Linked DNA regions of Diceros bicornis minor. The main gene of each other region encodes a partner of the protein of the gene in region 2 in a complex. Links are inferred from orthologs where the notes say so. Each region holds a gene or a part of one and is shown on either strand. Other genes may lie near its edges. The genes, in order: VAMP7, BNIP1, BET1L and STX7.

The links.
Region 1: BNIP1 (region 2) and VAMP7 share a complex: the UniProt entries of both Homo sapiens proteins name them as parts of the SNARE complex. The link is inferred for Diceros bicornis minor from reciprocal best matches to the Homo sapiens genes BNIP1 and VAMP7.
Region 3: BNIP1 (region 2) and BET1L share a complex: the UniProt entries of both Homo sapiens proteins name them as parts of the SNARE complex. The link is inferred for Diceros bicornis minor from reciprocal best matches to the Homo sapiens genes BNIP1 and BET1L.
Region 4: BNIP1 (region 2) and STX7 share a complex: the UniProt entries of both Homo sapiens proteins name them as parts of the SNARE complex. The link is inferred for Diceros bicornis minor from reciprocal best matches to the Homo sapiens genes BNIP1 and STX7.

Annotation. Positions count from the first base shown.
Region 1 is NC_080781.1:139,858,703-139,866,006, forward strand, and holds the start of VAMP7 (vesicle-associated membrane protein 7), read left to right. Parts: upstream 1-4,243; 5' UTR 4,244-4,347; intron 4,348-4,811; exon of another isoform or gene 4,812-4,865; intron 4,866-7,304. UniProt on the Homo sapiens protein: Involved in the targeting and/or fusion of transport vesicles to their target membrane during transport of proteins from the early endosome to the lysosome. Required for heterotypic fusion of late endosomes with lysosomes and homotypic lysosomal fusion.
Region 2 is NC_080740.1:86,935,939-86,943,453, reverse strand, and holds the start of BNIP1 (vesicle transport protein SEC20), read right to left. Parts: upstream 3,095-7,515; 5' UTR 3,071-3,094; coding exon 2,987-3,070; intron 443-2,986; coding exon 350-442; intron 1-349. UniProt on the Homo sapiens protein: As part of a SNARE complex may be involved in endoplasmic reticulum membranes fusion and be required for the maintenance of endoplasmic reticulum organization. Also plays a role in apoptosis.
Region 3 is NC_080770.1:18,058-25,569, forward strand, and holds the start of BET1L (BET1-like protein), read right to left. Parts: upstream 3,050-7,512; 5' UTR 1,851-3,049; coding exon 1,719-1,850; intron 1,438-1,718; coding exon 1,381-1,437; intron 1,236-1,380; coding exon 1,068-1,235; 3' UTR 1-1,067. Other genes in the region: RIC8A (synembryn-A), read left to right, coding at 4,533-4,616, 4,896-4,943, 5,029-5,619, 6,111-6,202, 6,778-6,928. UniProt on the Homo sapiens protein: Vesicle SNARE required for targeting and fusion of retrograde transport vesicles with the Golgi complex. Required for the integrity of the Golgi complex.
Region 4 is NC_080762.1:5,448,499-5,456,497, reverse strand, and holds the start of STX7 (syntaxin-7), read right to left. Parts: upstream 3,085-7,999; 5' UTR 2,995-3,084; intron 1-2,994. UniProt on the Homo sapiens protein: May be involved in protein trafficking from the plasma membrane to the early endosome (EE) as well as in homotypic fusion of endocytic organelles. Mediates the endocytic trafficking from early endosomes to late endosomes and lysosomes.

The DNA.
Region 1 (7,304 bases), on a different chromosome or scaffold from region 2:
TGACTCTGACTAGAATGAGCCACAAAGAGAAACAAACTGTGCCATACTCAAATGTTGGTGATTTTGTAGACATTGATAACATGGTAGCTCCCTCCGCTGATTGTGAATATCAAAGGAGAACAGGCATTCTTGAGGTAGGTCTGTTTTGAGCATAGAAGAACAGGAAGAAAAGTTGCCCAAGTCCAAATATCCAGGAAAAAAGAAGCATAAACAGCACTGTTGAGCAGTGATAAATTGCAATAATGTGAATGATTTTGATGCCAAAGCAACAGTCACTAGATTTGTTTGTGAACCACAAAATAACACATCAGGTTCCAATCCTGATAAGCAGAATGTAAAACCAGGGTCTCCCAGACATGACTAGAGCTCTGTGTGATATATGTATCTTATTTTAGCCCAATAGACATTTCTGGAGCATCTAGTACATAAGAGCTGGTTTGTAATCTGGGCTCCATCTCTTCTTAGCTTTGTAATCTTTGTCAAGACCAGAAGATTTCTCATGTGTACAATTAGGAGACTGGATTAGGTTATCAAAATCATCAGTTCTATAATTCCAGGCTTGGTAGCTGCAGGAACTGAAATGGAAATTGAAACCTTTACTCCATAAACTCAAACTATCTAAAATCATGGATTATAAAGAAAGAGATTCTATTCTTCAGTAACTTGATGAAATGGTAACAGAACTTCTGAATTTGAAAATTATAAAATTATAAAGCCACCTATTTAAATGGTTCTGCATGTACTTTAGTGTACACATCCAGAAGTATTTTTCTTAGAAACTACCCAACATATTTTGAAAACTGTACATATTAATTTATTACCAGGATATACAGTGTATTGGCATGCTAACTAAAGCCAGATAACTTTTTAAAAACCCATACATCAGATGATATCAATCCTCTGCTTGAACCTCTCTAATCATGTCCCATTATACCTAAAATAAAATCCAAACTCCCTCTCCTGGCTTACACAGCCTTGCAAGACCCTCTGGCCACAAGACGATAAGAGGGAACAGAACTCCAAGCAGAGAGAGCTAGAGCAAAGATCATAAAGTGGGAAGGAGCTTGGGGTATCTGAGGAGTAGAAAGAAGGCCCGCGTGATCTCCTCTCCTACCACTCTCCCCTCACTTCCACTACCCTCTAGTCACTCTGGCTTTATTTATGTTCTCTTATCTTCTTGTGGCTGCTTCCTTCTTGACATTCAGATTTCAGCTTAAATATTTCCTCAGAGAGACCTTCCTTGATTTCCCAATATAAAGGCTTGTGCTCGAGATACAAATTTTGGAGCACAGATGAGATTACTTTAGGAGAAAATATCGAGTAAGAAGAGGAGCTTTGATAGAGCCTTAAACTCTCTAAATTGAGGCAACATTTAGGGTTCACACAGCTATTAACTCAGGACTGTCGGGCTCCAAAACTCCATTCACTTTCTAAGATACTATGCTGTCTCTCAAAGGATAGGTATTGAATAAAATGAAATTTAATATTAATATGAAAAGTAAACCTTTGCAGATGGTGGATAAAGCTGAAAAAAGAAGCATATACTTTTCTGGAAAATGAAGAGGTGATATTTGAGATCGGTTCTGAAGAATAAATAAGATATAGAAAGGAGAGGCAGCATGTGCAAAGGCACTGAGGCATGATAGAGCATGGTATTGAAGTATTAACTCCATATAGGCAGGGACATTTTCTGTCTTCTTCACTGCTATATCGCCAGCATCCAGAGCAGGCCTGGCTCATAGTAGGAACTTAGTACATATTTGTTGAAGGAATGGATGAATGGATAAATGAGTGAATTCCACCACAGAAGAGCAGGCTTGAACACAGGATGTGTTGGTGAGAGAAGCAGAATATGAAGCAGGAGAGGTAGAGAGTGGTCAGATCATGGCGGGCCATGAATTTTGTGTTGAGATCTTAGGCTTTACCCTGCATATAATGGGGAACCAATAAGGGTTTTAAGTAGGATTTTGAAGTGATCAGGTTTTGTTCTAAATAGAGCAATCTCAAGCGATGAGGAGTTGGGGGCAGGGGTGGGATGGTGAAGGAGATACTATAGGTACAAAGACATTACTTCTGATTTTTAGTGCCCGGATCATTTTAGTCAGGATTCTCTGAATATACTTCAGTTTGTCTATAGCCCCCTAAGAACTGATAACAATAAATAAAGTATGGTATATCCTGCACATATTAGAGTAGAACCATGTGTATAGTGCCTTATGACCAGTACTATATTTTTGTCATGCTTGGAAAAATACTGAGGAGTGGAGTGGGGGTAACTTGCACAAAATATCTCACCATTTCTGATTTTTCCTTTTCTTTCTTGCTAAATATAAACTAAATAAAAGTAAATGCTATCATTATGTAAGATCTAATGAAGGATAACTAATTACAAATACAATGCTTGTTCAAGAAATACTTATTGTCCTTGAGTGCTTACTCTCTGCCTGGCACTATTGTTCATTAATCATTGCAACAATCCTTGAAGACAGGTACTATTATTATCCTTATTTTAAAAATGAGAAAACTGAAGCTTGACAAGTGAGATATTTAGGAGATAGAATTAATATGGCTTGCTGATTGTTTGGAAGTGAGCTTTGAGGGAGGGAAAGCATTAAAAATGATACCCAGCATTCTGCTGTGGGCAACTGATTGCATGGTTGTTCCATTCAGTGAGATGGGATTAGAGGAGAAAGAGGAGCCGGTTATGGGAGAGGGGAGAGTAGAAATGTATTAAGTCAACTGAGGACTACTGCTAAGATTTAGGTACTTGAAAGAGCTGCCCAGCTGTCATTAGATATTTCAGTCTGGGTTACAGGAGTCTTGTTGGGGCTTCCTATATGTGGGAATCATCAGCATACTGATGACAACCAAAGCAATGGGAATGGTTAAGATCACCCAAGAAAAGTGTGAAGAGTAAGAAAAGAAGAGAGTGTAGGGCAGAGCCCTATGGAACATGAACATTTCAAATGAAAATGAGGAGTTGCCACAGAAGTGGGCAGGAAGCCAGGAGAGTACAGCATCTTAGAAAGAGCTAAGAGAATAGAGGGTGCTATGAAGTGAATGTTTGTGTTCCCCCTCCCTCAAATGTATATGTTGGAGCCCTGATATTCAATGTGATGGTATTTGGAGGTGGGGCCTTTGGGAAGTAATTAGGTCATGAGGGTGGAGCCCCCATAAATGAGATTAGTGCCTTTATAAGAGATGTGAGAGAGATGATGTCTCTTTGCCATGTGAGGATACAGGAAGCAGGTCCTCACCAGAACCGAACTATACTGGGACCCTGGTCTGAAACTTCCCAGCATCCAGAACTGTGAGAAATAAATTCCTGTTGTTTAAGGCATCCAGTCTGTGGTATTTTGTTAAAACAGCCCAAACTGACTAAGACAGAGGGTTTCAAGAAGCAGGAAATAATGAACGTACAATCCTGCAGAGTTGAAGTATGGTAATGGTTGAAAAGTATCTATTTGTTTTAGCAACACTGTTGAGAATTTTGCCTGGAAAGGAGAGGTGGGATAAAGACCCCAAGGTTAAGTCTGTGTGTGGTGAGGGTTTTGAGGGGTGTGAGGTTGACAAAGGTAAGTTTGGAATGTTTTAGATAAGAGAAACTTTGACAGTCTTTAAATGCTGATAAAGAGCGAGTAAGCAGGGAGCCGTTGAGTCCTGAGACAGAAGGGTTCATCAGTGGAGCTAGCTTTTGAGTTGGCAAGAAGGAATAGGGATGTAAAGGGGACGGGGGAGCTTAGATCAAAAGAGAGTGGTTTTTATTATTATTATTATTATTATTATTATTGCAAAAGAATGGGAGAAACGATCGCTGAGGGGTGCAAGGTTAGAAAATTTCGTAGCGAAAGTAGAGGGAGTGCCTGTCAGATGAATTCTATTTCGTCTGTGAAGTAACGGGCCACGTTACCTGCTGAGACTAAACGGGGAGATGACGAGGAAAGCTAGGCTTTACATTTATCCCGCTGACTCAATGCTGGTGGACTCTCTGTGGCTCTGCATCCTCTCGTTTTCCCGGAGGAACAGCACTTGATGTTGTTTACGACAAAAGTTGTTGACCCAGCGGGTGACAGATTCGACAATACGCCAGTCGGAACTACCACTCCCGGAATGCAGTGCGGCTCCGGGGAAGTGCGGGGGCTGGGAACACGGTAGGCCCCGCCCCGCCACACGCTCCCATTGGAGGAGCGCTCCCATTCCCAGGAGGCCGCGCGTGGGCGGGGGGCTTTACACGGAAGCCGGTGGCGTCCGGTCCCAGCCTCCTCTGGGAGCGGACACTCGCTGAACTCGTGCTGACCCGCGCTCCTGTGTTCTGAGCCCGGGCGCTCTCAGAGGGTGCCCCGACAGGTAAATGGAGCGGGGCGCACTCGGCGGAAGGCGGGGAGACGACGCCGGAGGGAGGGTGGAGGTGTCGACGGGAAGGTGCTGGGGTGGAGCGAGGAGGCAGGGCAAGGGTGACTTGGGCTTCTCTGATGTCGACAGTTCGAGTTGTCGGTCAGGTCTAGTTTTGGCGAAGTGCGTTATGCCGCTGAGAAGGCCTCTAGTTAAATAGTGTCAGAATGCGTCACTTAAGTTGTTGTTACAGGAGGGGAAAAATGTTAACTTTCCCTCTGTTCGCATTCTGCAAGACCTTTCTGTAGCATTTGAATCTCTTGAGATCTCCTGAGTCTTCTGAAAACTCCTCCCTACGCCTTTGTTTCGATGACGTCACTGTCTTCTTCACCTCCTACTTCTGAGCTCCTTGGTGGGTTTCTAGCCCTCTGCGTGCCCTTCTTCCACCGCCCGGTGTTAACGTTCATCTTCTTCCTCAGGTCGGATAGGAACTCTGTATCTCCGCCCAGTGCTATTTCCTCAGCGTCAGACATGTATGTTGTTGTTATTGTTATCAGCCAATATTTAACAAACTCTGTGTACTAGACTCATTGGTAAATACTTTATATCTCCCTCTCCCGTAACCCCCACAAACAATCAGTTATCAAGTCCTTTTCTTTCTGTCTTATTAATTGCTCTCAACTGCCTGTACCTCCATTGTCTCACCCTTGATCCCAGAGGATACTGTCATGTTTGGGACATTCTTTCCCTTTGAATAGCAGTGGCTGAAAGCAGACTCACTCATATGTTTAACAAATATTTACTGAACAGCTAATATGTGCTAGACACTCTTCTAAGTGCAAGAGATATAGCTGGAAACGACATAGGAGATCGCTACTCTTGGTAGCTTACAAGTTTGTATGTGGGTGTGGGCAAACAGGAATAATCAAGATGATGTTATATGGTGGTGGTGGTTACTGCAAAACAGAACAGGTGATTGACTGTTGGCAGGGTTGGCTCCTATCCTGAGAAAGTCAAGGAGATTGAATTGGGTTTCAGAGCCTTATATCAATGTTTGTTCTTCATTCTTCTGTCTCTTCCAAGATTATTACACCAGAATTGGTGGTTTATCAGTCCTTGGCTTATTTCTTCCTAAGACCCAGGCAGAAGAGTTGGGGATTGGATTACTCTCAGCTCAACTTCTTTATCTTACTTAGGGAGATAGTTTAGTAATCAAAATACTCTTCTTGCCAGGTCCTACTAAATATAAAATTATGTGTCATTTATAGTATATTTAAAACCAAAACATGCTCAGTGTCTGTTCATTTGTTCAACAAATATTTGAGGGACTATTATATGCCAGGCACTGTACTGGGCATTGGGAACCTAGTGAGGATAAAATAGACGCTTTGACACCATTTCCAAGAGAAATAATTGTAACAGCATACTAAGGAAATTCCTAATACATAGGCTGACACCTGCATTCTTTTTTTCTTCATCCAAGGTGAGATAATCACAAAACTTTAAGAAATCTCCTGAATAATTGTGTACATTCGTAGATTATTCACTCATTACACTTTATTGCATTTATTTGTTTATGTCTGTATTCCCCATTGTACTATGGCTCCCTTGAGTATAGAGGTCCTTTCTTACTGATCTTCATACCTCCAGTGTCTACTACATAGACTGCCAGATGGTAAACCCTCAGAACATATGTGTTGAAGTGAAATAGGAAAACTATTTGATCCAATCCAAATGAATTTATACAAGGCCTTCTTTATATAAGGCCATTAGGCTTATCCCTAAACTTTCTCATTCAACAAATGTGAATCATTCCATCTCATCAGGCTAGTTTGTTTACCTTCCCTAGCTTGTTCTAACTTCTATGCCTTCTCTTGTTCCATAGCTCCATCTTAAAATGAGTTCTCATCTCTTTTCTGAGCACCTGCCATGCCCCCCCGTTTAATTTAATGGGCCAGTTTAATAGTATGCCCCATGATACAGGGGTGGAAAAGATTTAATTTCCATTGTGTTATTTCCTATTAAACATTCTGCTAAGGAACTGTTGCAAGGATTAACGTAATATATCTCCTTTAAATAATATAAATAATGATTCAGAATGCTTTCTTTTAATTTTGCATTGACTATTACCATGTACTACGTGACGAGTTAATTCTTCCACTTCTTTTTTCTGTTTGAACAGTTTCACAACCTTTATTCACACAGCACGTTATGGTATTATTTGGTTTCCACTTGATACAAACACATCTTTGAGTATTATTTTCTCCTTAGCCTGAGATAATTTACGTGTTAATGTTATTCTGCTACGTTGTCATTTTCAGAATGTCAGATAAAAGTCTCAATTCTTAAAGTTTTTTTCCATGCAGATTTCTTTCAGTTGTAAATTGTTACTGCAAAAGATAAATTCTCTCTTTATAACAGATTAAAAAACACAATAGGAATACAAGACTTGAGTCATGATTGTCATTATGATTTTAGGATGTGCCAACCTAAGAGCATCCAGACATGCTTCCAAGACATTAAAAATTAAGCACTATCATTTTAGGGCATTTCTTGGCACCTGTGCCTTCATAATGCAAATGTAGCACTAAATTGTGGATCATTGCTCATTTATAAGGTATACATGTAGATGATCCAGAATATTCATATACATGTTTTAATGTTATCAGAATTAAAATACAGAATTAAAAATTTCTCAAAGCACATGGACTTGAGTGTGAGAAACACTGACTTGATCTTTTTCCCTACTCAGTTCCGTGAAACTGTCTTCAACCTCCACTTGAAAATGCCTCCACTGAGGAGGAGCGTTTGCATCATTGCTGTGCTATTTTGTTAGCAATTTCTTTTAATACAGGGAATCCCTTACTTACAAATGGCTATATTCCAAAACTTCCTTTGTAAGATTATTGTTTGAAACTCTGGATGCATTTTCCTCTATAAATAATACTACTCATGACCTTTCGGTTGTTATG
Region 2 (7,515 bases):
AGGAGACACTGGTGATGGATTGCGGTGAATGGGCTGGAGAGAGTGCTAGAGAAGAGAAAGCAGTTGAAGTAGCTTCAGAGTTTTCAAGTTGAAAAATTCCAGGGACAATGGTGTCCCTGCCATCCACTTAAGACAGCTGGCAGTGTTAACTTGCTGTTAACTTGTTAACACAGCTGGCTCTGCATGTAAAAGTTCCTCATTTTGACCTGGATAGCAGGTTAGTACAGTCACCCTGGCTGTCTAAGCGTTCACTGAAGAACCTGGACAGCACGCAGGCAGAGGTGAGTGCCAGGACCCAGCCCCGTTCACTGCTGCCCATTCTCAGCATCCCAGTTTTGCAGCCACTCACCTGTATTCTGTGCCGCAACTGCTGAAACTTCTCTTTCACTTGAGTATTCAGTTCAGTGAGTGCGCTTAATGGTCCTGAACAGTCTCGAATATCCTAGGAGACATTGAAGAGATGAGAGGGTCTTTCTTAAGGCAACGAAATGAAATGACACCATCTGTACAGTGAGAGAGTTGGTGTAGACCACACCTAAGGTTGGCCTACTGACTGTAATTCATCCTAATCTTTGCTCTTTACCTCTGCAACACAAGCAAAAACATTATCATTTTCATTTTTCTCATCCTTCTTTAGATTAATTTTGAGCAGGTAATATAAAAGCATAAAAAGAAAAACAACTCTATATACAAGAGAATACTACTCAGCCATAAAAAAGGAATATTTGCCATTTGCAACAACATGGATGGACCCTTAAGGTATTATGCTAAGTGAAATAAGTCAGATGAGAAAGACAAATACCATATGATTTCACTCATATGTGGAATCTAAAAAATAAAACAGGGCCGGCCCCGTGGCTTAGTGGTTAAGAGTGCACGCTCTGCTGCTGGCGGCCTGGGTTCGGATCCCGGGCACGCACCAACGCGCCACTTCTCCCGCCATGCTGAGGCCGAGTCCCACATATAGCAACTAGAAGGATGTGCAACTATGACATACAACTATCTACTGGTGCTTTGGGGGAAAAAATAAATAAATAAATAAAATTTAAAAAAATTAAAAAAAATAAAACAAACACACAAAACAAAAACAAACTCATAGATACAGAGAACAGACTGGTGGTACCAGAGGGGAAGGGGGTTGGGGGACAGGCGCAATGGGGGGACAGGATCAACTGTATAGTGATGGATGGTAACTAGACTTACGGTGGTGATCACTTTGTAGTGTATACAAATATCAAATTATAATGTTGTATACTTGAAACTTTTATAATGTTATATACCAATTTTACCTCAAAAAAAGAAAAAAAGAAGGGAAGAAACACAATTCTGTCTTGACTTACGAGTTCCTAAAGTTTAACAAAACACCACCTGGCCAGTATGAAAGGCTTAAAGCAGCTTGTGTGTCCAACAAGAATGGACACCCAAAAGTGATCCTACAACTTTAGATTTTTCCAACTGGAAAACCAGGATGCTAAATTCCTGGCCTAATATGACAAGACTAACATCTTATCTGATCTTTCAAACCACATATTATAAATCACAGTGTTTACAGACATGTTCAATTTAGAATATGATTTAGAATTTGTTTCTGGACATTCAGAATTACTAGGGCCAGGATTTAGAGCAGGCTCTGGAGCTAAACTATGTGGATTCAAATCCTGGCTGAAGCAACTTATTAGCTGTGAAACCTTGAAAAAGTCATTTGAGTTCTCTGAGCCTGAGTTTCCTCATCACAACATTACCTAGCTCACAGACCACGGATGTATGTGAAGTGCTTAGCAGAGGAGCTGGAACAAAGTAAGAGTACAATAAATCTAGCTATGATCAATCTTTCTCATTAGCAATCACGAGAGCCCAAATGTTAGAGAGTACAAAAGGGGATTTAAGCAATTTAGATTATGTGAAAAAGTGATTTCATTTGTATAAATCCTAAATTTATTTTACTAGAATTGGCCCAGAAGTTTTGTAGTTTATACATGGGAGACATGAAGTTCAAGAAGTTAAAATGTTTGCATCAAGTGTCCTCACTTGTTCTCTGGCTCACTCGTAAATCACACTTCCTTGCACCCTACGATGAACCACTTATTTGGTTTATTTTGCGTCTGGTTTCCCTGAGGAGTCCTACTTTCTTTCGCTTTTTGTCGAAGCTAGTTGCAAACTCTGAGTCTACATCCAATGCTTAGTAACATTTGTTGGAAATGGAAACGCTTTCCCTTAAACCAAGCTTTAAGACTCTTGGTTTCTTTTTGCTAAACTCAAGGAACCATTTCTCCATTCCTACCTCTTGCCTGTGTCAACTGGTTTATTGCACTACTGCCTTCCACCCTTAAATGGCCTAAGGCAACGCACCTCAATTACCCTATTAAACCGAGGAGTAGAGGCTCTCTAAGTCCCTTCTCTAGGCTGACTTTCACTATCTGCCTTCTGACCTAGGCCTTGGCAGTCTACGTGATTTCCTCATTTCAAAATCCCCACTACGGTCCAGGTTACGTTCATTTCCCCGGTGCTTCCAGCGCCAAGTAGCCTTGGGTGCCACGAAGCACGGGACCAGCGGAGCTGGCCAGCAGGGGGCGGGGCTCATGGTCCCAGGAGGCTACCAGATGATGGAGAGGGCGGTGTCAGAAAACAGGGCCAAGCAGGGTGACAGGTATGTTGTGAGGCGCTCGGGGGCGAGGCGACGATCAGGGGTATGTGTGGGAGGGACCAAACGGGGCCACAGGGGAAGCCTGGTCAGGGGCGGGGGACCCGGGGGTGTCCCGGAAGAGGGCGAGCCGACAGCACTGGATGGAGGATCAAGGCCAACGGTCAAGGGGACGGGACTCAAGCGTAACAACAAGGGGATAGCCGGCCATGGCGTGGGGCCAGCGACCTCGGAGACTTGACCAAGCGGGGAGAGCTAGGGAGTGAGACCACCGAGCTCACAGAAGGCCAGCGGAGCTTGGACTTAGGGACGCTGGGGCCCGGCAGCGGTCTCGGGAATTAGTACCTGGATAAGCGCCTTCACCTCCAGGTCGAATTTGACAATTTCTTGGTTGCAGATCCGGACGTGGACATCTTGGGGAGCCGCCATGTTGGGGACGCCAGCTACGGGCAGCGACAGTGCCCAAGTGCAAACGCGTTCTCGCGCCCCGGCCTTCCCTCCCCGCCCGGTCTCACGGCAGCGCCCCCTAGAGCCCGGTCTGGGGCGTGCGAGGGTGCCGCGCTCGGTGCTGGGGACTTTCCCTGACACGTCGGGGACTCAGCCTCTCCTCTTGGCGTGATCCTAGTAAAACGCAGAGGAAGGGAAGAGGGAATCGAAGAGCGTTTTAACAGCGTTTAACGTTCCCCATCTTCCGCCTATCAGCCATTCTAATGACTACATATTTTTTACATGGGCGGGGGAAAGGCTGGAAGAAAAGTATCAATTGGGATATTTCTGGAAGGTGGAATTAACAATTTTTTGTATTTCTTGAAACTTCCTTGTGTTTTCATATCTTCTACAGTGACTATGAATTGTGGAGTAAAAGAAAAAATGGTAAACGTTGTTATTATTACTTTTTTTAGTGTCTGGAATTCAAGGCAGGCCACTAGTCCAACACATGGTCCGAGGGATCTTTCTAAAACGCGTAACTAATCAAGTCACCTCCCAGCTTGGACCCCTTCTATGGCTCCTGGCGGTTCCCTTTTGTGTACAACTGGATTTATTAAGTCTACATCACCCGAGTAGTTTTGGTGGATTAATGTAGTTTTGATGGAAATAATTAAGAGCAGACCCTCAACAAATGGAGGCTCTTTCATTTTACTTTTATTATTAAATAGTCCCAAGTTTCTTAGCTGGTCCTCAAGGCCATCAGCCACCTCACCCAGCCCCACCTCCTCCCGAGATCCTTCAAGCTCTTTTTGGATATGTAGCCTTGGAATGTGCTGTTCCCTGTTCTTGAATGCTTTTCCCCACTTGCCCCCAGCCCCATTCACTTTTGTTCACTTCAGTTCAGCAAGCATAGATTGTGACACCCTGAGGGCCTAGCTGTGTTTCTTTTAATCCGCACAACCACGCTTGAAATAGGTGATACTCCAGTTTTACAGACTGGGAGATGGACTAAGAGTAGATCAAAACAAAGCAAAACCGGACATCCCTGCCCCACGGTACCCAACTTGAAAGTGGCAGTGCCTTGCCTGAAAGCCACATCTTCCCTTAAGAACCAAATATGGCCTTTGGGTAGTGTACAAGGGGGGCTGTGTGCTCGCCTATCTGTGTTCCTCCAGCACGCCGCACACCCTCCCTGAAGGTGTTCATCACCCCACTGCACCTAATAGAGAGGCGGTGTATTGCAGGCTTGGGCGTCTGCCTTGGCTTGAATCCTGCTCCACAACCCACTTCACATCTCTGTGCCTCAGTCTCCTCAGAGGCTGACTGGGGGTAATCACTGGCTTGGTGGGAGGGTGAAATGAGGTAATACATGAAAAGCACCAAGCACAGTGTAGTAATGTGGCATGTGGTAAGAGCTCTGTGTGCATTAGCTGCCATTATTATATTACTAACTGACATTTTTGGAGCACTTCCTATGTGCCAGGCACTTTATACTAAATGCTTTATGTGTATCATCTAATTCTCACAACAACTCTATGAGGTAGAATTAACCACATTTTACACGAGGAAACAGGCACAGAGAGAACAATGAGTTGCCCAATGCAAATGGAATTGCTAGGTCAAAGGATATGTGCATTTTAAATTTCTGATATATGTTACCAAATTGCTCTTCGTAGAGGTTATATCAGTTTACACTCCCACCAGCAATGTGGTATAAATGCCTACTTCCCCAGGGCCTCACCAACACAGTGTGTTAAACGCTGGGATTTTTGCCAGTCTGATTAAGTGAAAAATGCCATCTCTTAATTTGCATTTCTCTTATCATGAACAAGCTTGAGAGGTATTTGTATTTACTCTATTGTCTGCTCATTTCTCTATTGGGTTGTTGGTCTTTTTCACATCAGTTTCTAGGAGCTCTTTATATATTAGGAGGATTAGCCCTTGGAGATGAGCTTTTTCCCTAGTCTATAAAATTTTGACTTAGCGCATTTAATTTTTGGGAGGAGTTCTATAATTATGTTTATTTCCAATGTTTGTTATCACCAGATCTGTGTTTCCTATTATTTTTATAAGAAGATTATTTAGCTCTCTTTGTATTATTGGTTTTTCTTATGGCATATGGTAGCCAAAGTTGTATGAGAGTTAAAGGAAAATTCCTAAGAAACTGTATAAGCCTTTAGATTGCTTCTTACTTGGGACAATACATTTTTCTAGTTCTTACCAAGAATAACAACTTCCACTTTTCTTTTAAACTGCACTTTTTTTTTTTTTTTTTTTTTGGTGAGGAAGATCAGCCCTGAGCTAATATCCACGCTAATCCTCCTCTTTTTGCTGAGGAAGACCGGCTCTGAGCTAACATCTATTGCCAATCCTCCTCCTTTTTTCTTCCCCAAAGCCCCAGTAGATAGTTGCATGTCATAGCTGCACATCCTTCTAGTTGCTGCATGTGGGACGCAGCCTCAGCATGGCCAGAGAAGCGGTGCGTCGGTGCGCGCCCGGGATCCGAACCCCGGCCGCCAGTAGCGGAGCGCACGCACTTAACCGCTAAGCCACGGGGCCGGCCCTAAACTGCACTTTTGACCTTATTTTTTTTTTATGGTATATAAACAATAATTTATAAACATGATGTAAAAACCCATCGTGTTTTCTTAGACTTTTGATATTATTTGATATGGTACAAACTTTATTAAATCAAGATTCAAGACCTAAAAAAAAAAAAAAATTTTTTTTGACTTAGCTTATGGTGTTTTTTGGCCTTAAAGAAGTTTTAAGTTTTTTATTTTTGTTTAACATAGAATTTATCAATCTTCATTTATGACTCCTGGATTTGGGATCCAAGTTAGAAAGGCCTTCCTCACACTGTAGGGGTTTAAAGGAATTGCCCACATTTCCTTCTAGTGTTTTTACGGTTTTTTTTTTTTTTTTAAACATTTAGATCTTTACCCATTTTGAAATATATGTTGGCTTATGGGGTGAGGTATAGAGCTAACTTTACTCTTTCCAGAGTGTTACCCAGTTGTTCCAACACTATTTCCTGAAGAATCCATCTTTTTCTCACTGATTCTGGATGCCTCATTTACCATACTGAACTCTTATGTTTGAATTTATTTCTAGACTTTCCATTCTGTTCTATTGGCCTGTCTATTCACTCATGCACCAAAATGACACTTTTAATTATTATAGTTTTATGTGTTTTAATAGGTTAACATGAACACTGCTTTTCTTTTTTTATTCCCCAGCATCTTGCAGCTATTATTTTTTTCCCCAGGTGAACTTTTTTTTTTAACCCCCTGGTATGTTTTAAGATGGCATTAAATTTTTTAACTTAGGAGGACTGACAACTTTATGTCATTGACTGCTCCTGTTCAAAAACTTGGTCTGTCTTTCCATTTGTTCAAGTCTTCTTCTGTGTCCTTCATAATATTTTAAAGTTTTCTTTATCTAGGCCTTGTACATTTTCTGTTAAGTTCATTCCTGGTGATGTTTTAAGACTAAAACCTTTTAAAGAAACCAAGTTTGACGTTTTTCAGGTCACTCAACTGTTTTGGATCCTCAAATAGAAGCTCCCTATTTAGGACAGGAAGAAGCCCAAAGTCTGCAGGCAGCAGATCTGCCCACATGACCTTGGGCCCCTTTCACATCAGGCTTCTTGCTGGAAACTCCTACGCAATCAACAGTCCCCAATTGCCTCTCAATGCAGCAATTAAAGAAAAGATAGCTCCCTTTTTCTCCACCCTTCAACACACTCTCTTCTAACAGAGCCCCAATTCTAAGCCCTTAAGCTAGAGGCCATCTTTGAGTGATAGACATGCAATTTGGTGACCCACATCCCCAATTACTGACTACTGCCAACGCTGTTTTGCTCCCATCATCTTTATCCACTGATCCTGAGATCAGCTTTTGGTTACTACATCTGCTAGGTTTTGGCTTTAGTTCTGATTTTCAGATTCTAAACCCATTATTTTCCTCCTATATTGACATCCAACCAAATCGCCTGTGACTTGGCCTGGTCCCTTAGAGATGAGTAAGAATCGTCTCTGAGTGCGGCAAGCAGACTGGAATTTAAATTAGAGTTGTCTATCACATAAGCTGGGTCTGGGGTGAGTGGCCTCATCTGAGTCTCATCTGACTCTTCTGTAAAGTGGACATGACTGCTTACCTCACTGCGCCACTGAGAGCAGCAGCTGAGTTCCCTGATGGGAGAGCACCTAGCAGGGGCTTAATGAATGCCACCCTAGCCTTCTAGACTTTCTAATGCCCTCTTCCTATTCTGAACCTTTCAGCTGGGATATTAAAGTATTTCCCAACTAATGTCTTTCTTTCTGGCCAACTAGCTCTCCTGGTTCTGAAATCACTGTTGGTGAGGAGGGACAACTGAATGACCCACCTAACTGGGTGCTACCCACAGAAGGTTTAGTTTCCTAAGGACTATACTGCCCTGGCTC
Region 3 (7,512 bases), on a different chromosome or scaffold from region 2:
GAGCACGGGGCTGGCCAAGTGGGCAGTGAGGGCCCTGGGAGAGGGGGGCAGGGAGGGCCATCTGCAGACGCTGGGGAGGAGGGTGTGGCTCAGACCTCCCTCACAGCAAGGAGAGACTTGCTGTGGGAGGAAGGGCTGGGCCTGGTGGAGGAAAAACTGCCTGGTGATCCTCAAGAAGTGACTTACAGGTCCTATGAAGAAAGTCCTTACAGGAAAGCCTCCTGTCTGGGCCCACAAAAGGTCCCCCTCACTCCCATACCCTGACTGACTCTGAAATACCAAATGGGCCTGTTTCTAGACATCTAGTCTCCAAAAACACATATTTGGCGCTGGGGAGATTCCGCATCCTGACAAAATATGAATTTCTGCTCCTGGAATACATGACCACAAAATCCAGAAGGATCCGGGCCCAGTGCCTCCAGCCAAGGCTGCAGCCCACTCCTCATCCACAACCCCCTGCACTTCCCCAAGGGTCTGGCTTCAGCCATGGGACTAGAGAGCAGGCACAGAGGCCTCACTGGTCCACCCATGCTCAGGACCCCTGGCCAGGAATAACCACCATCTCTAGGCTGAGACTGTCGGTTGGAACAGACAGTGCTGCCTGGAGCTTCACAGAAACACCCCTTCTCTATCAGCTCCAGGCACCTCAGACACCAGACGTGGCCTTACCTAGACAAGGATGGGGCAGAGGTGCCTGGAGACATCAGAGCCCCTAGGGCTGGGGGAAGGACTGACCACAGGTAGCCACGTCCAGGATTCCTAGCTCCTTTGCTCAGACCTGGCTCTGTTGGCACCTCTAGCACCTGGAGTGGCAGAGGGTGCTGGGCCTTGGTTTCCCCAAAGGAAAGGGTCCCATGTCTGCATGGGACCAGCAACATGGGACAGCCAACATGATCTCACTGGGCCAGAAGCAGCCATGGGCTCCCAGCCACACAGGAAGAAGATTCCTAAGCCACGATCATCGTTCCAAAGGAGTATTTTGTAGGAAGGTCCTCTGGAGCCCAGGACACCAGGTAGAGGAAGATGCTGGTTGCCCTGTGCACCCACAGACGCCAGCTCCCACTGGTTCACGTCCTTGCCCTCGACAGAAGGTAGGAGAGGATGAAGAAGACCACGATGAGTCCCAAGGCCATACCGCACAGAAGCTTCCGGTTGTCTCGCCCAGATCGCGCCATTGTGGAAAAGCGCTTCACACTCCCCGTGAGCAGGCCCGTCATGCTTGTAAAATCCGAGTCCTGAGGGAGGAATCCCAACACGATCACACAGGGGTGGACCCTCCAAGACCCACAGGAGAGTGCTGCAGGAGACACTGGGGACCTATATAGCAGGCAGTGTGGGGCAGAGCTGACCGAAACACTCACGCACGCTGCAGACCCTTACCATGCCATCCAGGTACCGGTTCTGGTCCTCTGCATCCCTATCGATGTCCAGGGCAAGCTGATCAGGACACAGAGGGGGCAGGGTCAGGCCAGGGAAGACACTGGATGGTGCTTGACCCTCCATGAGACCAGCAGACCCAACCAACGATTCTGCCAGACACAGTACCACCAGCAGAGATCAGGAGGTCCAGGTATCACCTAGGCCTCACACAAGAGAGTGCTGCCACGGATGGGACAAGGAAGATGAGAACTACATGAAACCCTTCCAAGCCTCTACCCTCCCTCTGATCCCTGCTCCAAGGTGCCAGGTGGAGGTGAAACAGGAGGACCACCACTGACCGATTTGAGCCTGGTGACCTTGGAGGCCAGGCTGTCGGCCATTCGCTTGTTCTCCCGGTCTAGAATCTCCTCCACAGCGCCAGGGCTCTGAGCTGCAAGGAGAAAGAGAGGCTGAGGGGTGCATCCACCCATGAGCACTGCCCTTGACCCCTGGATGTCAGCCCTTCGTGGCCTCAGGACTCTCTCACTACAATCCCATATACCTGAGTCGGAATCTGGCGGGACTAGGCCCACCTGTGTCTGATGAACAAGTCCAGCCCTAACCCAGGATCCGGTGTAAGGACTTCACACACACGTGAGACAGGCTGTGTCAACAACAGCGTGTGCGGGCACCCATCACGTGACCACATGTCCTGTGTACACATCCAGGCCAGGGTGGACAGGCATCCCCAACATGTACAGCCTCAAAGGATCAGCCCAACCGGCACTTTCTGATACTCTGTGACAGAACCTGCACCATCCCTCCACAGACATTACTATCAGCGTACAAGAGACCTGTTCCCAGAGAAAAACAGTAAACTCTGGTATGGACCAAGGAAAGACTGGTGGGGGGGCAGCAGGAAGACCCCTGCAGGGACGACCTGTGAACTCGGTCCTCAAGAGATGACAGGTAACCAGGGAGGAGACAACTCAGCACAGCTCCCCAACACCCAAAAACGGGGGCGCTGAGGTCGATCCCGAGGGCAGGGCCTGGGCCTGCTCACCTCTGCACCCCACCCAGGGCCTTATATGACACCGAGCACAGTGCTTGCTAAGACCGGTCCCATGACTAGGGAGCGGCCAGGCGGTTCGGCATTACTGTCACATCAGGTGGGTGAGAACCGCGTCCCCCCAGTTCCGAGTGCAAACTTGCCCCGGGCCAGATGCCTCCACGTGACCCATCTAATGGGGGTGCAGCTCTAGGAACCACAGATGGATACAGACGCCAAAGGAAGGAGTGTTGGCGTTCTACCAACCCCCTCACGTTCATTAACTTCTCAACGGTCACAAGAGCCCGGCGAGACAGGCATCAGCATCCCACATCGCAGACGAGAACACGGGCTCCCAGAGGGCGAAGGGGCTGCCCTCCCACCACGCAGCCTCCCTCCTAGGGGCTGGCCTCCGCGACCGTGAGGCCGGCCGGGGTGCCAGCAGAACCATCTGACAGGGACAGAGGGGTACGAACTCCGGGCAGCCGGGCCCCGCGACGCAGGGACCCCACGACCCGCCCACAGCGCAGCCGCCAGCGCCCGCAGGGCCTCCCCGCCGAGACCACCCAGCGGGCTGGGCCGCGCGGACGCAGCTCTTGCGGGCAGCGGCGTCGATTACGGCCGGCCCCGACGCCATCCGGCTCTGCTCTCCCGCGCTCACCGCGAGCCCAGTCCGCCATCGTGCCGGCTCCGGGCCCCGGCTCCGTCGCCTACCCGGCCCCTGCCGCGGCGGACGTGGCGCAGCCGCGGGAACGAGCTTCCGGCGTCGCCGCTTCCGCCTTGGCCCCGCCTACTTCCGGCGGAGGTCACCGCCCCCTCCGCCGCGCGCCCGCCGACTTCCGGCGGAGGCTCCGGCCGCGGGGCGCAGGGCGCCCGGGTGGGGACGGAAGTGGCCTGATGTTGGTTCCTCCGCCTGACTAGGACCGCCTAGGGTTAGCGTTTTTAACGCCAGCTCCGGTGTCCAGACGCCTCTATCAGCCACGCCTCCGGGACGGCGTCAGGCCCGAAGTGGGAGGAGCTCGCGGGCCCTCTCCCGGGCGACGGGCGGGGCTGGGCGCGCCGAGGGACCGGCCCCGAGGTCCCCCGGCCCGCCGGGCTGCGGCGCGGTGACTGCTGGCGGACCAGGTGGTGCTCGGGGCCCGGGACGCCCCCGACGAGGACGGGGAGCCGGACAGTGGGTGGGGCTGCTGCTTGTGCGCTGGCGCCGACCCAGGGCCCGGCCGAGTGGACGCTCGACCGGCGCCTGTTGCAGGGCAAGTCGCCCGCCACTGCGGGGGCATCCGCTGTATTACTGAGTTCTCCCGACAACCCACTGGAAGGGCGACTTTGGTCTTCTCTGCTCTTCGAGAAAGAGGCCTGAGTCCAGGCCGATCGTGTGTCTGGGTTGCGCAGCGAGGAGCCGCCGCGCACTGTGGAGCTCTGCTCTCCTCCTGACCCTGACCGTAAGCCTTCCTCAGCCCCAACGAGGTCCGTTTCTCTCCCACCTGGCCGTTCCCCCGTGCCTTGAATGCCCGTCCCCAGATCTTCCTGGCTCCCCTCTCGTCCGGCACCTCAGACCTCTCTGCAGCCCAGCAGCCTCTCCTCTTCCAGTCACGGCACCGCCTGCCTAAAATCGTCCTTGTTTGTCCTCGCCTTGGGAACATAAGGTCCGCGAAGGCAGGGTCCGCGGGTCCTGTTCGCCCGCATCACGGCGCCTCGCGTGTAGTAGGCGCCCAAACGCCCGTTTAACAAACCAAGTGGTGCGGGGGCTGGCAGCCCTTCCCACCGTGGCTGTACCCGCGACATCCTGTCCGTCCTGTTCATCAAGAGGGGCGGGGGGTGGGGCTGAGGTCGTCTCCGCCAGGAATTCCTGCCCGAGAATTCCCGAGGGTCACTCTTCGGTTCGGGGGCGTCTCGGGACCTGAGGTCGGACGATCACCGAGTCGGATCTTGAAGCCCGGGCGGCAAAGCCTTCACGCTCTAGGAGGCTGTTCCAAGTCTCGCCACCTTAAAGCGCGCCACCTTAAGGCGCGCGCTGCCCCGTCCCGGCCTCCCCCGCGCGCGGAGCCAGGGCGGGGCTGGCGGACTCAGGCCCGGGGCTGCGGAGCCACGTCCCGCCTTCCGGGCGCCAAGTACTGGAGACGCCATGGAGCCCCGGGCGGTGGCCGATGCCGTGCAAACGGGGGAAGAGAACGTGGTTATGGAGGCTCTGCTCGCGTACAACCAGGAGGTGAGCGGGAGTCGTGGGGCGCGCAAGGAGGCGGTGGGCCGGGTGGGCGCGGCCGGCGGAGGGGTGGGTGACTGCGGCGGGGCCCGAGGGTGGAAGGGAGCGGCAGGAAGGGGCGCCGAGCCTACGAGGAGTCGCTGGTTGGAGTCACGTGCGCACCTGGGGGCAGGTGTGCGGGGCGCCATCTGTTCGGAGCGGCGCCTGCAGCCTCGGGCCTCATCTCGGAGGCCGGGATCTGCCCGTGCGGACCTGCGCTCCATGAGCCCCTGGGTTTCCCTGCAGAACTCCCAGAGCTTCACATTCGATGACGCCCAGCAGGAGGACAGGAAGGTGGGTGCTGACCGAGGGGTAAGGGGCAGAGACGGGGGCCCCGGGTCGGGGAGCCTGGTGGAGCCGCTCTACTCCCCGCCCACAGAGACTGGCGGAGCTGTTGGCCTCGGTCCTGGAGCAGGGCTTGCCACCGTCCCGCCGCGTCACCTGGCTGCAGAGCATCCGCATCCTGTCCAGGGACCGCAGCTGCCTGGACCCATTTACCAGCCGCCAGAGCTTGCAGGCATTTGCCTGCTATGCTGGGATCTCCGCCTCCGGGGGCTCGGTCCCCGAGCCCCTGGACATGGACGTTGTCCTCGAGTCCCTCAAGTGCCTGTGCAACCTCGTGCTCAGCAGCCCGGTGGCACAGGTGCTGGCAGCAGAGGCTCGCCTGGTGGTGAGACTCGCAGAGCGCGTAGGGCTGTACCGCAAGAGCAGCTTTCCTCACGACGTCCAGTTCTTTGATTTGCGCCTTCTTTTCTTGCTAACTGCGCTTCGCACCGACGTGCGCCTGCAGCTGTTTCAGGAGCTGCGGGGAGTGCACCTGCTGACAGATGCGCTGGAGCTGACCCTGGGAATGAGCCCGGAAGAGAGCCCCCCTGCGCTCCTTCCTCCCCAGGAGACTGAGCGGGCCATGGAAATTCTCAAAGTGCTCTTCAACATCACTTTCGACTCCATAAAGAGAGAGGTGGACCAGGTAAGAAGAGAGCTGATCTGAACCCGTGGGTGGGGCTTAACAGCTTGAATGTTTCCTGGATCTGCTTCCCTGTTGGGTGCCTTCAAGTTTCAGGGTGTTAGGCTCAGAGAAGACTGGAGGAGGCGAGGAGACGCCTGGGTAGGGGCCCCAAGGAAGGTTTCTGAGGGAGGTGGAGAGCACATTTGGCTTTTGGAGCCTGGCAGGAGAGCTGTGTGATACATGGGGACAGTGTAGGAGATTCCCAATCACGAGGCTGTGAGCATGGGGTCAGAACACAGAGTGTGACTCAATCCCAAGGACATCTGTTGACGTTCTTAATCAGGAGAGTGCTTTTCAGGTTGTGTAGGAGAGGCGGAGGGGCCGGGTGTGCAGTGGGGGAGATGTGTAATCGGTGCACTTGGTCCTGGAGTGGGGCAGACGGTGGAATCTCAGCTGGCAGCAGGGGGACAAGTGGGGCTCTCTCTCACAGGAACCTCTTACTCTTTGGTCAGGAAGATGCTGCCCTTTACCAGCACCTGGGAACCCTTTTGCGGCACTGTGTGATGATCACTGCTGCTGGAGACCGTACAGAGGAGTTCCACGGGTGAGGGTGGGGCCTGTTGTGTTGGGAGGGAAGTGTGCTCACGTGTCTAGATGGTGGTTGCCAGCCATGGTTGTGGACAAGGCTCCACCCTAGCGAGTCTTTACCCATCTGGGTGGGACTAGACATCAGTGGGTTTCCAGAGAGCTCTGGCACTTAGAGTACATGGCTAGGACGAGAGCCACGAGTCTGGGAACAGGAGTGTGCCCCAGGACCTTAGGCAGGGGCAGTGGATGGTGTAGTATCTACAGGGCAGTGTAGGTTCCTCATTCCTGTTCTCGGTGACCTGTCCCTGGAGGCAGGTTTTGGTTTTCCAGAGGTGGTCTGTGGTGCTTCAACCCAGACAGAGGGTCATAGGTGAGGTGTTTGCATAAGAGTGCCCCCCTCCTCGGGGACCCACTCCACTGAGCAGGAGTGCCCCCTGAGAGCAGTCCTCTCCTCAGCTCGGGCCCCTTGTGCTGCTCCTTAGGCCCCTGGACACTGGTTCACGTCACATGCAGCCCCAGCAGGAGGTACCAAGGGTTGTGCCTGTGCTGGGGGATTGGATTCACCAAGCCCCTCTCCCCGTCTGTCCTCAGCCACACGGTGAACCTCCTGGGGAACTTGCCCCTCAAGTGTCTGGACGTCCTCCTCACCCTGGAGCCACACGAAGGCTCCCTGGAATTCCTGGGAGTGAACATGGATGTGATTCGTGTCCTCCTTAGCTTCCTGGAGAAGCGTCTGCATCAGGTAGGCAGAGGGGACTTGCTGTGTGGGCTCCCCAATGGCTCTGGCTTTGGCCTTCCTGAGCAGCTGTGGTCACTGCTTTTGTGCCGTCCACGTTAGTGAGTGAAGATTAGCTCGCCAGTATGATTCAGGTGATCCTCCAGCTGCTCTGTGGTCCAGCCAGGCAGGAAGCCAGACCCGTCCTCCCTGAGAAGCATGTGGACACTCCTACACACACACTTGAAGGTTTCGCTTCTGGTTACTACAAGGAAACAAGTTTTCAGAGTCTGCTTTTTAGATTTCTTTATGGATCTCTCTGGCATGGTGTTGAGAAGCCCCCAGTCCCTGCCTGTGATCTTAGACTCTTAGTGTTTCTGTGCACGGGCAGCCCTTGGTGACGAGCATTGGTTGTCCCTAGACGTCCCTGAGGGGACCCACAGGGACCTCGAGCCAGAGGCTTCCTGATTCCTGCGACTGCACCATAGGATATTGGCCGTCCAGGGCTCTGAAGAGCCCCTGTGGGAGCTTGCAGACATCATGCAGGCTAAAGAGTGCAATGGACTGAGACTCAGTAGACCCTTCAGGGATCCCCATTACCCAGGTGTGCT
Region 4 (7,999 bases), on a different chromosome or scaffold from region 2:
TTCTCATGATGAGATATGAGAAATAAAGGAGCCAAATGACTAACTTTACTGTAAAAAAATATACACATGGACAGACAGCTACCTACAAATTGACTTAAAAGTTTATCTTTGCATAGAGACTTAAGCAACCAAGTTATTTTGGCGCCTGCTTCCCACATCAGTCTCCAGCACCCAGGCCAGAGCTAATACACACCACAGTTCTCTTGCTGAGTACTTCCGAAAGCCCATTCAGAATCCCTTGTTTTACTGCTCAGAATAACAATAACTCATTATCTATACCTGCACTATCAAGTGTTCAAATATCACATGTGTGGCCAGTGGCTTGGCCAGCTCACGTATAGAACATTCCCATCATAGCAGAAAGTTCTATTAAACAGTGCTCATCTAGACATCTCAATAATTACCTTTCTATGAAGATATATAAACACTATGAAGAGAAAGAAGCAAAAAGAGAATCAAAGTGCAATACTGTCCTCTGTTGGTATCCTTGGGAGATTGGTTCCAGAAAGCCCACAGATACCAAAATCTGGGGATGCTCAAGTCCCTTATACAAAATGGTGTAGTATTTGCACATCCTCCCATATACTTTAAATCATCTCTAAATTACCTATAATACCTAACACAATGTAAATGCTATGTAAATAGTTGTTATGCTATATTGTTTAGGGAATAATGACAAGAAAAAGAAGTCTGTATACGTTCACACAAACGCATCCATGTAGGCCTTTCGATTCGTGGTTGGTTGAACTTGCAAATACGGAACACTCGGATACAGAGGATCGACTGTATTCACGAGCGTCCTCTCAAGACTTTCTAAAGAGCACAAATGAAAGAACAAAGGGAATTTTAACATGGAATCATGACTGTCAAACACCACCCCCAGTTACTACTGGACACATGCAGAATCCTTAAGATTCTCATGAATCTTCCCATGAAGATTTCCCTGAAGAAATCTCACTCTCTTAGGGCAATAGAAACAGTTTCACTTTCTTAATGGTGAGCACCAGCGTAAAGCAACAGACTTCCATCCACCCCGTGCCCCAAAATGTGAAGTTCCCAGAGGGGTAGGGTTTTTTTTTTTTTTTTGAGGAAGATCAGCCCTGAGCTAACATCTGTTGCCAATCCTCTTCCTTTTTTTTTCTCCCCAAAGCCCCAGTACATAGTTGCATATCCTAGTTGTATGTCCTTCTAGTTCTTCTATACGGTACGCTGCCTCAGCGTGGCTTGATGAGCACTGAGTAGGTCCGTACCCAGGATCCGAACCGGTGAACCAGGGGCTACAGAAGCAGAGCACGTGAACTTAACTGCTCCACCACCAGGCTAGCCCCTAAATATGACCATTTCTAAGACACTGAATTCCAGGGCCTTCTTTCAGATCCTGATGTCCCAGGACGATTGCTGCCTGGGGACCTTGCTGGGTGCTATTTCCTATCCCTAGAAGGCTCTTCCCACGATCCCAGTGACTGGCTCTTTTCCCCAGCAAGCTCTCATCACATGCTAGAAAAGCCTCCGTGACCACTGCCATGTGAAGTGAGAGATCACCACCCCGCCACTCTCTGTTGATCTCTCTAACTTACTGCACCATAGCACTGATCACCATTTAAAACGATCTAGTTAGTATACAGTTTATTATCTACCCCACCTCTGGAATACAGACACGAGAGAGACAACCCTGTCATCTTGTGGAATCCACAGTGCAGGGTGCACAGATGTTCCGTGAATGTGATGGCGATCCCTCTCCGGACACCAGCATTCTCTATAACTACACTAACCGCATTCTTGAGCTCAGCTCCTCCATCCGTTAACCTATTTACTACTTGGGTTTAGGTCACAACACTAAGGATTATTTTTCACCCTTTCACACACTAATCTTTCAAATTAAATGGAATCAGAGGCAAACTTTACTCAGACTTACTGCAGGTGTTTCATAGAATTTATTTTTCACCCACAGCACTTGGCTAAAGTTTGGGATCATAACCAAAATTAGGACTGACTGTGTTATGGGGAGCAGAAGTAAAATATCTGAGGAAAAATGACACAGATGTTGAGTTAATACGGTATTATATTATCTTCTTTGAAACTAAACCGTAATTCTTAACTGGTCACAAGTCAGACGCACTTCTCAAAGTGGCCTGCAAAGCAGAGGCTTGTCCACATCACAAGACACAGTTTACCACATCAGTTATCGCTCAGGCCACCCCCAGAAGACACGCCCACCTCCAACATTACTGAACCGCAGAGCATTTCAGAAGCATTTTCTTTTCTTCCAGATTCTGTGCCAGGTTTAAATTATATATATTTATAGTCAGAATACGTTGATCTGAATTAAACAAAAATTACTGCATGTATATAAGAGCCAAGCAAATCTAAGACACTCGAGAGAGAAAAATACAGCAATTGACCAGAAAGGCAATGTTTTTTTTTTTTCTTTTTGTTTGAATTTAAAGAAACTAACAACCTAAAAAACAAGGGGGGAGGGGGCAGCTGGAAATATTTTATATATCTGTCAAGGTCTTTATGTAAACCAATTAATGACAGGAGCTGAGAGGATCAAAGCAAGTCAGCGTGTCCCAGTCATCACGCCAAATAGGAAAACGGCGACAACGAGGCTCGGAACGAGCGCACAGGGCGCCCTCGCCGCCGCATTTTCAGTTCGCCTCCAGCGGGAGAACTTTTCTCCCGGGCGAGCGAGAAAGAGGAAGAGGTCAGCCCGCGGCGCAGGCTGGACTCCCGAGCCGCCCGGGCGGGCTGGGCGCCGCCCCACCCGGCGCGGGCGCGGCCGCGGGGCCCGGGGCGCGGGGAGGCGGGGGCCGGCCGGGCCCGGGGGCACGCCGCGCCGGCCCGGGCCGAGGGGAGCGGGCGCCCCGGGGCCGGGCAGCGCCCGCCGCACCGCGCAGGGCGGCGGCCCCTGACCACGCGCGCCCACCAGGAGGCGCGGCAGCCCCGGGCCGGCGCGCCCCCGGGGCGCAGGGACCCCCGCCCCCGCCCGCTTACCCCGACCTCCTTGGCTGCCTCCTCCGCCTCCGGCCGCTGGACCCCGGACCCACAGTCCGCAGCCACAGCTCTCAGCTGATGGGCGGTGGCGTCCAGACGCCCACTGCGCATGCCCGCGATACGCCTGGGAAGGAGGCGGCTCCTCCCCTCCCATTGGCCCGCGGAGCGGAGTGACAGCCCTGTCCCGCCCCCTCTGATTCTAAGCTGAGGGATGGGGGGACCAGCAAAATTGCAGAGCAGGTGTTCTTCGAGGCCTGACGTGCCGAGGGGGAACGCCTCACCCTGCGTGCAAAAACAAGAGGAGGGAATGCAGGGGAGCTGTCTTCTTTATAGGGTGATGCCAGCCTCCCTAGCCTCGCGTCTTCGGCCCGCCCCGTCAGCTCATGCCTGCTTTGTTGGCTAACCCTCAACTGCGGTAGACTGTATTCACAGCGCCATAGAGAGTGCGCACGCAAATAGGCAACCCCAGCAGGAACAATGAAGGAAAAGGGAAATCATGACCGTGTGCTCACTTGGTAGACAGGTGTTCGTAGCACATACAAGTCATCCTTGAAGGGCAGGGCGCAGTTTTCACAGTGTTTGAAGAGAGCAGAGAATGTTCTCGTAATAAATGCAGTATTCAAACAGAATGTAAGTGTTAGATAAACAGCATCAAATGCTTCAGGTGAAAGAAATACCTCAGCAAATTGGTTAGAAGATAGATTGGCTTGGCTTTTGCCTGTATTAAGGCAACACTATTTTCTGAAAGGATCATCAGGACGTCAAAACTCCAGATGCACTTAACGGGAAAAAAAAAAAAAAAAGAACATTTTGAGTTGAGCAAATTCTAGGTTGTTTGGAATTATACATGCATATATACATAAGTAAGGTCAGCCTGGGATAAGAAATACAAGGGTCTCGCAGTTTGTTTTTCATTTTTCTACTTTTAACAGAGAAGTGGGAAAAAAATATTTCTTTCTCCTCTTGACTGAAGAAAACTACACTGCAAGTGTGATAATGAGCAGAGACTTACACTCTGCCTCGGTGGGGAGGGGGCGATGGACGGAGGTGGGCACACTGGCCAAGCGGAAGGCACACACCCCATCTTCAGGGACAGCAGGATTCAGCTAAAGCTGATTGCAGACTTTTAGGAATACTGGCCCGATACGCAGTAGTCAAGTTTTCCGCCTTGTCAAAATACAGTGGAAATTCAGATTTTTATGTGAAATCTCTCCTTTCTTCAATATTCTTAAATTTGTATAATATATTCTGTGATCAGACAAAATATGTGTTTCAACCTCTATAAAAGGGAATAGTGTCAACCACAGAGTATGAAAGCTGGGGAGGCCCTTACAGAAAATCCAGGTACACTCCCTCACTTCACAGATTAGAGAAACTAAAACCCAAGGAAACTCCATCAAAATCACACAGATAAGTATAAGCAGCACAGGTCCAGATGACCTAGTTCGGAATCTTGAGTTCTTCCTACCATATCACTCATTCAGCAACTACTCACTGAGAACCTGTCATCTGTCAGGTACTGTGCCAGGCACTGCAGGTATGAAGATGGGTAGGGTATAGTGTTTTCTCTCAAGGAGTGAGATCCCTCCCAGGACACTGTAAAAGGAGCTATGATAAAGATTTGTACATAGCACAGTGAGAGTCCAGAGACGAGGATGCCTTACTGTGGGGTCAGGCACCACTCCAAAAGGAAAGTGTTAACAGAAGCTTGAAAGATGTGTAAGAGTTCACTGAGAAGACAAGGTGGGAAAGGACATTTCAGGCAAAAAAAGAAGCACATAAAAATTTATAAAATCATAGGCAAATGCAAACTCTTAGGGATCTCTATATGTTTATTTAGATAAACTGTAGTCAGTGGATTGGAGGGATACGAGACTGGAAAGGCAAATAGAGTTTATATAGTGAATGTATGTATGACATACACCTATCTACTGGGGCTTTGGGGGAGAAAAAAGGAGGAGGATTGGCAATAGATGTTAGCTCAGAGCCAGTCTTCCTCAGCAAAAAGAGGAGGATTGGCATGGATGTTAGCTCAGGGCTGATCTTCCTCACAAAAAATAAAATAAATAAATAAATAAATAAATAAATAAATAAATAAATTAGATATGGAGAATGAAAGAGATGACTCCTACTCTTAGGACACGCAAAACTGAGCTGAGCATGATATAGCTTACTGAGATCCAAGACTACTAACAAAGTAATTGTGGTTTGAGGAAGGAGCTGGTGAAATGAGGGAGTGAAGTGACAATAAGTTGAGCTTTGGGTGTGTTGTGTTTAAGTTTCTGGGGAAGGGACATCCAGTTTGAGATGTCCAGTGTCCTACAGGTACTTGAAGGTGTGAGCTGGTGTTCAGGATAGAGCTCTGGTTGGCACCGTGGGAACAGATGAGCTCACTAACTCTAAGGAAGGAATGTTATGGACTTTCTGTGTTTAAGGGAGGGTAGAGAAAGAGAAACCCTGAAAAGGAGTAATCAGAGACATAGGAAGTAAACTAGGAAAAGGTGAACTAGAGAATGAAGAGGGAATGTTCCATGATAGCACGTGTCACAGAAAGTTCAAGTAAATTAAGAACTGAAAGTTGTGTATTGGACTTGAGAAGTAAGAAGTGGTTGGTGAACTTAGGAAGAGGCATTTCAATCAATCAAGGAACTATCATGCAAAGAACTTACATCTACATAAGGTCTGGTACACTTTCCAAACATGCTTTCAAGTTACCTTTGCTAGAACCCTGGGCTGTGGGAGGGGAAGGCATGGTGCCCTGTAGAAGAAGACCCTGAGGCTACGTGGCCTCTCAGGTTACCCTGCTGGTTACTGCCTGAACTGGAACCACAGCTCAGAGCCTCCTCCTGGGCTCCTTCCAATTTCTCATGTCTTAAAACATGTTATGAGTGGATTCCTCCAGGTCTTTTGAAAATCTGAGAATAAGACTTCATCCCTTTGTAATCAAATGGAAAAAAATATAGTTTAGGTAAGCCTGCAAAATTTAGAGGCATAGAAGATAAATAAATTCCCAGAGAGTTCCTAACATTTATAGTATCCCTTCTTTGCATCTGCCTGCTACTTCGTGAAATTCAGCCAGGGGCCTTGAACCCAGGCAGGGCTCAAAAATTCTGCTCATTTAACAAGTAATCATTTCACTTCTCCCCGAACAAATCCTTTACACTCGCAGGAGTGACCTGTGTCTGAAGGCTTGTAATTTGGCTTTTCAGACCCAGTAATTTTGGGAATTTGGGTCTTCTTGAAAAGATTTTGAAGTGCAATCAGAAGTCAGTCAAGTGGTAATTATTAATAAATAAATAATAAAATTAATTAATGATTACTTATTTGTACAATGTAAAGTAGTTTCAGAATTGCTAACTCATATTCCTATGAGAGAAAAAAGCAAAAAACCTTGAGTACAGTGTTGATGGAAAATTCTTTTTGTTTTTAGCCTTACATTATTGAGTCGAGACAATGTTTTCCAAAATTAACCAGATCAGTTCTTTTCCCTACCCCATTCAGTGAAGTTATGTTTTATGTTTGTATTGCATTTAGATTTGTTTGTCATGTGTCTGCATTTCATCTGGGGTTCCTCAAACGTACTAGTTGATTTTTTTTTTAATTTGCATAAAGTTCACACTTTGTGGCACATAGTGCTATGGATTTTTGACAAATGCATGCAGTCATATATCCATCACCCCAATACCTTTGTGGGAGATCAAGATTTGGCCACCCTGAAATATATCTCTTTACCTTGATTGTTTTCTCTGAGGGACATTTGACCTCTCCCACTAACTGCCTAAAGAATTTGAGTTGGTGGCTCCTTCCTGGAACAGATCTTCTATCATCATGGCTGTAATGATAATGTAAAATAGATGTTACAATGGGAGGGGCACCAAGCCCCTTTTATCAAAAAACTCTCTCTCTCCCTGACCACATTATCTATAGATGAACCTGAAAAGAAGAATTGTCTTCTTGCCCTCTGAAGTCCCAGACCACTACCCACCCCCAACACCTTCCTCGCCTTTAGCTACAATACTTAAGCAAGCAGCTTAGACAGAGGGACGAGTTGCTCATTTCTGAGTTTCTCCCATGTATACATGTTATTAAACTTGGTATTATTTTCTCCTGCTAACCTGTCTTGCTAATTATTTGGCCAACCATAAGAACCTTACGGGAAAGGGCAGAGGGGGATTCTCCCTCTTCTCCCACACCTTACAGGACAGTTTCATCATCCTAAAGATTCTCTTTTGCAGTAACTTTTAGCTAACCACCTCTCCTTCCCCAACTCCTGACAACCATTCATGTTTTCTGTCTCTATATAGTTTTGCCTTTTCCAGAATGTCATACAAAGTGGATTATACAATATGTAGCCTTTTAGGTCTGACTTCGTTCACTTAGCAAAACTTAAGATATTTAAGATACTTCCACATTGTTGCATGAATCAATACTTTGTGGCTATTTTTTTATGGCTGAGTAGTGTTCCATTGTTTGGATGTACAATTTATTTATCCATTCACCTATTAGTTGTTTCCAATTTTTGGCAACTATGAATAAAGCTTCTATAAATATTTACATAGAGATTTAGATAAAAAATATAATTTTTCACTTCACTTGGGTAAAGATCTAGATGGGGGATTATTGGGTTGTATAAGTACATGTTTAATTTTATAAGCAAGTGCCAAATTGTTTTCGAAAGTGGCTGTATCATTTTGCATTCCCATCAGCAATGAATGAGGATTTCTGTTGCTCTAAATCCTCATCACCATTTAATATTGTTAGATTTTATTTTTTAATTTTGGTCCATTCTAATAGGTACATAGTGACATCTCATTGTGGTTTTAATTTCATTTCCATAATAATGTTGATCATTTTTTATATGCTTATTTAAAATCCATATATCTTCTTTAGCGAAGTGTCTGTTCAGATCTATTGCTCATTTTTTATTGAGTTGTCTTCCTATTGTTGAGTTTTAACAGTTCTTTATATATTCTGGTGCTTTTCAAATATGCCATTTGTAAATATT